Schizosaccharomyces pombe: one gene and its partner. The protein of the gene in region 1 interacts with the protein of each later gene in a pairwise test. Each region holds a gene or a part of one and is shown in the gene's direction. Other genes may lie near its edges.

Evidence for each region. Proteins that work in one complex are often made in the same cells at the same time.
Region 2: the proteins of tfs1 (region 1) and SPOM_SPCC576.02 interact in a two-hybrid assay, tested with the Schizosaccharomyces pombe proteins (2 studies listed by BioGRID, with this or other methods).

What each region holds. Positions count from the first base shown.
Region 1 is NC_003424.3:2,114,413-2,117,995, reverse strand, and holds tfs1 (general transcription elongation factor TFIIS), read left to right. Parts: upstream 1-1,539; 5' UTR 1,540-1,614; coding exon 1,615-1,683; intron 1,684-1,740; coding exon 1,741-1,803; intron 1,804-1,978; coding exon 1,979-2,658; intron 2,659-2,721; coding exon 2,722-2,746; intron 2,747-2,795; coding exon 2,796-2,840; 3' UTR 2,841-3,083; downstream 3,084-3,583. Other genes in the region: ATP-dependent 3'-5'-directionality DNA helicase fml2, read right to left, coding at 1-1,127; protein dsc3, read right to left, coding at 3,233-3,583. UniProt on the Schizosaccharomyces pombe protein: Necessary for efficient RNA polymerase II transcription elongation past template-encoded arresting sites.
Region 2 is NC_003421.2:2,079,639-2,084,533, forward strand, and holds SPOM_SPCC576.02 (hydantoin racemase family protein), read left to right. Parts: upstream 1-2,068; 5' UTR 2,069-2,231; intron 2,232-2,273; 5' UTR 2,274-3,008; coding exon 3,009-3,719; 3' UTR 3,720-4,389; downstream 4,390-4,895. Other genes in the region: alpha-ketoglutarate-dependent xanthine dioxygenase Xan1, read right to left, coding at 1-1,024; SPOM_SPCC576.19C (uncharacterized protein), read right to left, coding at 1,609-1,968.

The sequences.
Region 1 (3,583 bases):
TTTGATTTTTCTTTAGATTGTACATTTTTTGAACTAAAGGAATACTTTCGTAAAGAAACGAAAAGCGTATAAGCTTTTATATTAAGGCATTCACAATTGATAGGTATAAGTTTTTTTTGACGGAGAAAATTAAAATATGGCCGGTATAGGTTAGCAAAGTCCGATTTTAAAATATTCATTTCAGAGGAGATCGTGACCTTAATCAACTGAATCTTTTTATGAAAAACATATGAGCGAATATCTATACTTTCTTCGTTGCGAACAATGAGTTTGGAGATATGGAGGCAATCTACTACCTTTTGAACAGAGGCGGTAGAAGATCCTGGAGTTGCGGTTAAACCAAGGACTCGAAAATGACTATTAGATCTAAGCACTGCCCTCATAACCTGAGCATACGAATGGTTGCCAGTAGCTCTATGAGCTTCATCAAATATCAGGCAAATAATACTTTTGGCATCCAGTAAATGTTCCTTTAAATCATTCTGGAGTGTTTGTGGAGTCATGAAAAATACTCGTTTCGTATTGTATTCGAAAAGTCGACGATCCGGTGATACTTCACCGTTCAATTCAGCGGTAGCACCTGGTGACATTCCCGCTACATTGGAACAAGCAACTCTTTGTTGCAACAGTAATGGTTTTGTGGGGGCAAGAAATATTATTTTGCTTTCAGGAAACCAACGAAAATAGTTTAACATGACCACTGCCGCAATAAATGTCTTTCCCAACCCAGTAGGTAGAGCCAGTAATAAATTGTGGAATAATGCTTGCTCACAAAATTCCTTTTGATAATTTCTATACTGCTGAGTCTGTGGAAAAATCCAGTTTTGCATTGCATCAATATTTTTTGGAATGTCAATATTGTTTTCTAACTCAGTTATAACTTGAGGTTGAGAAGAAGGAACCCTACAGCCTCGCAAGTCTAGTTGAAACGTAGTATTTTCAACGTCTTGATTATGTTTTATACATTTCAAATTTGGTTGCCTTAAAGCAGGATTAGAATTCAACAAAGATCCTTCAACATTACAAAGCACTGAGGTAGGAACATTTCCTCGTTCTCCGTTCACCTCGATACTTGGCAGGTCTACTTCAGAGTCGGAATAGTCACTTGAGTCTCTCAGTACAATCATGAAACTAAATTTATGAAAACGAACGAACACATAGACCAAAGTAAGTTTCAAAAATAAACTGAATATCAAACTTTTAAATTCTTGAACATCAAGTTTCTTCAATTTGATCAAACAACATTATAATCTTTGCTTTTCATAAACAAAGCTGATAAAACAATTAACAATTGAGTAAGATCAAGTCAGCGGAGGAGCATGAAAATTTAACGTTGTAAAATAAACACGAGTACTAATGCGATAAACAGAAAACAGTTTGCAAACTTGAAAAAAAAACTGTCAAACTCAAGAATTCAACTAACAAAATCACGTTACGGGGTGTTGATATTCACATCAGCAACTATGGTGGTGAAGAAAAATCACAACGGTATTAGTAGACATGTGAGATGTAAAGCGCGTTATCCAAAATAAATCCTCTACCACCATAAGATTATTAATTTTGCAATCTGCTAACCAACAGCAGTGTTTACAGTATTCGAACTTAATTTGAATCATGGACTCTGCTGATATCCGATCTGCGAAAGCAGCTTTGGAAAAAGCTATTCAGGGAAAGAATATAGAGGTTTGTAATTTGTGCTATTGGGACTTACAGATGGTTTTGAAGCTAATATCAAGCTAGACTATAATTAACATTATGACACGTTTAAAAAATGAAGTAGTTGCTACCGAAGAATTACTTAAGGTAGGTTTATTACATGCAATATGGTAGTATTCTCGCACGGATTGTTGACAATATATTACATGAATTTTGCAAATTTCACTTAATAGAAATAACATCTTTCTTAAAATACGAATTCCACAAGAGTACCAACATTTGATGGAGAATCGGTATTCAAAATACTAACCAATGATGCTAGGAAACCCGGCTGGGATTAGTCGTTGGCAAGCTCAGATCTCATCCCAATGAGAAAGTTGGTGAGCAAGCTCGGGAAATTGTAAAAAAATGGAAAGCCGATGTTAGTAAAGGTCGTCCATTGAAAACCACAACTACAACTTCCTCCACGCCTTCTAAACATGCGGATGTAGGTTCTCAAGCTCAAAAACAAGTTCAAAAACAAAGCAGCAGTGGTCAGCGTACTTTTAAATCTGATAATGTGAACGTCAATGTGACTGATGACAAGATTCGCAACAACTGTATTGGATTAATGTACAATGCATTAGTCATAGATTCGGATGAATCTTCTTCATTAATAATAGCCAAAGCCAAAGAAATTGATGCGCAAGTACTTGCTAGAGCAGCAGGTAAAACTGGTTCTGAATATCGAAACAGAATGCGGTCCTTGTATATGAATCTTAAAGATAAAAATAACCCGAAACTTAGAGCATCAGTATTACGAAATGAAATTACTCCGCAAAGACTCAGTACCATGACTTCTGCCGAATTGGCTTCAGAAGACCGTCGCAAGGAAGATGCCAAGCTAGAACAAGAAAATTTATTCCATGCGCAAGGTGCTAAACCCCAAAAAGCTGTTACAGACCTTTTTACTTGTGGGAAGTGTAAGCAAAAAAAAGTTTCTTATTACCAAATGCAAACAAGGTATGTTATTTGTCATGATTTTAGTACTTTTTATCGCGTAAAATTTATTAACAATCCGTATAGATCTGCTGATGAGCCTATGACAACGGTAAGCATTAGTCTATTTGGGTAGAATATTTGGACTAATTTTTTTTTAGTTTTGTGAATGTACTGTTTGCGGAAATCGCTGGAAATTTTCTTAAATCTTGGGTCAGCCCATTTAGATACCGGTTGTAAAATAATCCTTCATATTTCTTCTTCTTTTTATTGTTTTAGAAGCACTCTCCTCTATTGTGTGTGTTTTTTTTTGTTTTAGGATCTGATTGGTATCTTTCATTCTAGCGATGAATATATGCATATTTTACTTTTGCACACTCAATACGACACTTTTACAGTTATCCTACTTTACACTTCTTAATAAATCCAAATGGTGTTTTAAACGTACATTTAATAAGTTAACGCTTGATCAAAGCGAATAGATCATAAAATTCGACATTATTAATCCTCAATTAAACTGTAGTCATAATTAACAAGTGCAACGAAAAGTGGAACGATTAATTGTATTGGACAAAAATTTTAACAAAAATGAACGGGTTTACCATCGATACGAGTGTAATAAGCCGTATGCAAAATTGCAAATAATTCCGACAAGAATGGATAATTGCATTCTCAGAGAGAACATTGTCCTTTCCCAAAGAAAATAACAAGCAATAGCTCCTCCAAAAAAGCCTATTAATACTCCAGCCAACAAGGTTTCATATGACATGTCAAGTTCGTCGGCAGAAGAGTTTTGTCCTCCATTGTCAATCCAATCGTCTTCTGCCTCTCTGATAGCGTCTTCCGTGAGTGAATCCAAATTAGTTCCTCGTAAGCGATGAAATTGGCTACGCAAATTATTGACCTCGGTTTCTGTAAAACCAGCTTCACGTAAACGATCAAAACCACG
Region 2 (4,895 bases), on another chromosome or scaffold:
CACGAACTTTAGGAAGATCATCGATCACAGTGGTGGTGCCATCTTCGTTGTCGATTAGGATTTTCTCAGCACAGCATCCGTGAGTCTGCAAGGCAAGCTTTCCGGTTACAGGATTTTTCCAAAGAAGAGGGAATGTTTTAACCCTGCTCTCCTCCCAAGGAGGTAATTCAGACTTGTCAAGCTCAAGTCCCTCAGAATACATACCCAAACCATTGGGAAGGGCTCTAGCTTTATTGATTGTAACGTAGGCATGAGGGAAATATTGAACGCGAGTACGAGCAGCCACCTTCTTTTCCTCGTCAGTGAGCAATTCGTACATGCGATAGCCTGAGGCGAAAGCTGTCGAACCTAATGGAACAGGCATCTCATGGCCAGACTTATCATCATATCGAAGAGTTTGGGTGCCTTGTGGAGCATTAACGGCGAGAAGGGTAGTGACTACAGGAGGGTTATAGTCATAAAGGGCAGCATCGATATGCCAACGATAAAAACGGGTGACTTGTTTTTCTTTTTCTTCCTCCTCAGAAATGGGATCACGATGGAAAGTTCGATGATGAGGATGTTTAAGTCGGACCTCTTCAAGACCGTAATGATCCTTCACAACACCATGACCAATGAGTTGTACTTGAGGAACACCGGGAAGGGTGTGCAAATCGGGATGTAAGATGCTGTTGTTTTGCTGATTTGTACGATTGCCGTGACCATAGGTAGAAGACTCGGGATCAAAGCGATGGGTGATAGCGTACTGAGTCTCTGGGGGTAAATTGTGTTGATTGGGGAAACAAACCACTTGATGTTCGAAAAGAGCCTTACGGATATCTTCGAATTGTTCATCCGAGAGGTTATTCAAGTCAACATTTTCGATCAAAGCACCAAATCCAACATCAGTATTGTGTTCCGGCAATGGAACAGGGGAAACACGAAGACCTTGAGAAGTGGTATAAGCAGTAAATGGTGGCTCGGTAGCACCAGTCAAAGTGGTGGTAGGAGGTTCCACAACCGTAGTAGTAGCAGTGGCAGACATGATTGAACGAAGAATTTAAAGAAAAGTTGGTAAGAAACAAGATGGGTTCTCTTACGAAACGAGTAATAAAGGAGGATTGAAAAAAAAATATGAGAAAAAAGGTATTCTTGATAACCTTAAAAACGTTTAAACTAGTAGAGTTCAACTTTGGACAAGTAGAGGAGCAAAAGTCGAAAATTCACAACAATCGTTTCGTTTATTGATAACAATGGCGTAGAGTGGTTTTCGAATGTTTGTTTCTTTTCGAAAATCTATAACAATGGATTATAGCAACACACGATGGGTATTGGCTGTTCAAAACGAAATTAAACTAAGATTTGAAAGGAAATTTACACAAGTCAATAATGCACAATGCTATCGGAGCAAGTAAACAAGCTGGGACAGCGAGAAAAGTTACGAATATTTAGTTGTTTTTACGGAGAGTAGCAGTAATTGAAGACTTTACGTAGATGTTGTATCACCCAGGTATTATTATGAACTTCAATTCAAATCAATTGTAGCAGAAGCACAAGACGAACAATGGTCAGTGTGATTCTCTTCAGTGAGTTTTTCTTTTGATTTGATGAGACAACATGGTATTCACATCAACCTTTTATACCATGGAACCTCCAATCCTCATTACTCCTGGGCCATGTAATTTTGCTCATTATCACTTCTACCGCATACCTCTCTATCAACATAGATAAGATTGCTGAAATTACATTGAGTAGGAAATGTACGCTAAGTGAGTTTGCCGATGCTCTAAATTCGAGTGAGCGGCATGGCAAAAACAAGCATTTGCCAACCTTCGGTATATCGGACTGAGCACCACTGAGTAAGACTGAGCTGCTACGAAACGGAGAATACATGTTGTTAAACAATTCTAATGAAATGTAAAGAAACCATCGATTTGGCGTCTGCACATCAAGTCTTGTTTGGTAAAGGTCATTGGAAGAAGTAGGCATCGATAGGGGGAATACCCAAGTCGCACCCGTCCGTCTAGGTGATGACTTAAATTGAGGTTTGAGGGGAATTCATTAAGACAATCGGCGGAAATTTCTTGACCAGAAGACTAAGCACCGATGTTCTGGAGTGCGATTTTTAGTGGGACAGGGTGCGAGTTGGAACGGGCTTCGGACTCGAGTTTGCAAGTGTAGAACGAGTGGGAAAGAATCGGTAAAAGAGTAAAGTGGGAGATAGTGCATATAGAAGATTTAACGTTTTGCAGGTAAATGAGAATATTTCAATTACATAATCCTAACAGCGCTAGTAGTAAGTCTGGTGGTTAGTGGTGCTTGTGCTTTGCTTGACCAACATTCCAAAGGCAGCTCAAGTATAGCATAGCAATCCAACATTGTCCTACAAACTTTTCAATCACCTATACTATCAGTACCATCGTTGCTGCTACTCACTGACGCTGTTTACTAGTCATCAGTCTCATCTCCTCTTCGGGTCCGACTGTGTTCATTATCAGAGTGCACATTGAACAACTTGGAAACGGAGTTTCCAAGTTTACTCAAACAACCCCTTACACTTGATTTGCGTCTTATCAATTCTGTAGACAATTTCAATTGCAGTCTACAGCAGCTTGAAACAGCATTTTTAGTCATCAACCTTGAAATAGATTGTCTAGTCGAGTCTAGTCTACTAAGAGTAAATAAGCAAAAACCAAACAAACGATCAAATCTATTTTAGTCATTACTTGTTAAAAATATTTTTCGTTTTTCAAGCCATTTTGTTGGAAACTCGATTTTCTACACTTTATAATAAATTGTGACACTGGTTTTTCAATTTTAGTTTTTGACAAACAGTTTAGAAAAAAGGTTTATTTTCCAATAAACTGTATTATTTTTTGTGTCTCTGTAAATTCAGCTTCAACATTCTCTTTTACTTTTTTTTTTTCTACTATTTCCCCTTTGCTTGCTCTTTTTCTTACTATTTTCTCTTCGCTTTCTCTTCTCTACCTTCTTTCTCTTCGTCTCTTACCTTTCTATTTTCTCTCATCATGCCTACCATTCTCGTCATCAATCCAAACTCTTCCACCTTCATCACAACATCCATGGAAGAAAAACTCGTTCCCCTAGTGCCTTCAGATGTAAAGTTGCGCTTTCTAACTTGTCCTCAACCCGGTGCTGCTGTCATCGACTCCATCACAGAGGCAACCTTGACAGCTGCTCTAGTCTTCCAAGCCCTAACTCCTAGTGTCTTGGATGGTGTCGATGCTATAGCTGTTGCCTGTTATTCCCCCACTCCTCTAGTCGACATGATTCGTGAGTCATTTGCTTTACCCTGCATGGGCATTGTGCAAGCGTCTGTCCTCAGTGCCTTATCGGTTGGTCAGCGCATCGGCATCCTTACAAGTACATATCGTTCCGAATGTTTGCTTTACGAATTACTCGATTCTTTTGGTGTTTCGCGCACTCGAGTGGCCGCCATTGCTTCTACAGGTCGCACAGTTTTGCAACTTTCGCAAATGCCTTCACAAGAGCGTGAAACCCTTCTTGTCCAAAAGGCCCAAGAACTGGCAAACACAAAGGGTGCAGATGTCATTTGTTTAGGTGGTGCTGCTTTAGCAGCTATTCGTGATCAGATTCAGGTTGCCGTAGGTCCCAATATTCCCATCATTGATGGTGTACATGCGGCTGTTGAGTTACTTGCTGGCCTAGCTCGTCAAAATCTTCATACATCAAAGTTTGGCATCTATACGTATCCATAAAGAGATGTCCATATGTTTTTAGATCTAGCAAACCAGTTTGATGCTGCTATATCACATACACACACATAATAATGTGTACGACAAAGGTTGATATTCCTGGATACGTATACATTTTCTCTTGATTTATATCAATAATTACATACCTATCTATAACGTGATAATTACAACCATTACCTCTTGATACATTCTTTTCTGTCATTGTTTACAAAGCGTATTGACACATTGGTTTCATAAGAATAACTTTTCACTGTATGCCCAGTGTGTTGGATACAAGCAGATTTACAAACATCCTTTTAAAAAATCATTTTGGGAAGCAGTCAATCTCGTTTATACTGTTGTATTTCTTTACATTCGCCTTTTTCCAGTCTTCTTCAGTTTAGAAACATTGGAAGGCTGTGAATGAGCTATATGGTACGAGGCAAAGTAAAATATTATTTTACTAATAATAAAAAATAAAATGCGACTACAATTAAAATTTCTATTTTATGTATCTCTATCCATTTATATTGACTTGAATGAACTGAAAACCTATTCTTCTTTATATCTCGAAAATTCTCGTTATGTCAGCAATACTACACTACGCTATGCTACACTACGTTGCGTATCACTATATGTCATATGTTGGAATACTAGCTAAGATCCGTTTATTGATAATCACGGGTAACTATCCTTCTATATACATAGATACCCGTTGATACAAGTATTTAGAAATATTATAAATAGCGTTACAACTGAACCTCGTTCCTCAGTTCAGTTATGAGCTATATTAGTGATAGGTAACATTATAACCCAGTTAATACAATACCTATACTCAGTTGCTACTTATACAACCTGTGTATTGTAATATAATAGACCACAAGGAAAACTCACCGCAGTTCTACGTATCCTTAAATCAGATACCAAACTGCGTAGCTTACATGTTATCGCAACGAGCGTAACTCGTTTAACTCCCTTTGGGCCTGATAAGGAAGATGCGGGTGAAGGGAGTGAAATCCACGGACTAACCTTCTTTTAACCACCGAAGTCTACCCCAGATAATCTGAGGTAGCAAGTCACTTGGTATGTCAGTGCGTGTCGGTGCGTTACAAAACGATAGACGCAAAGCAAAACAATGAGAGGATTTAATTTTTTTAGGTTCCATTTTCTTGGTATAAACTAAAACATAGGTTGCCTTTT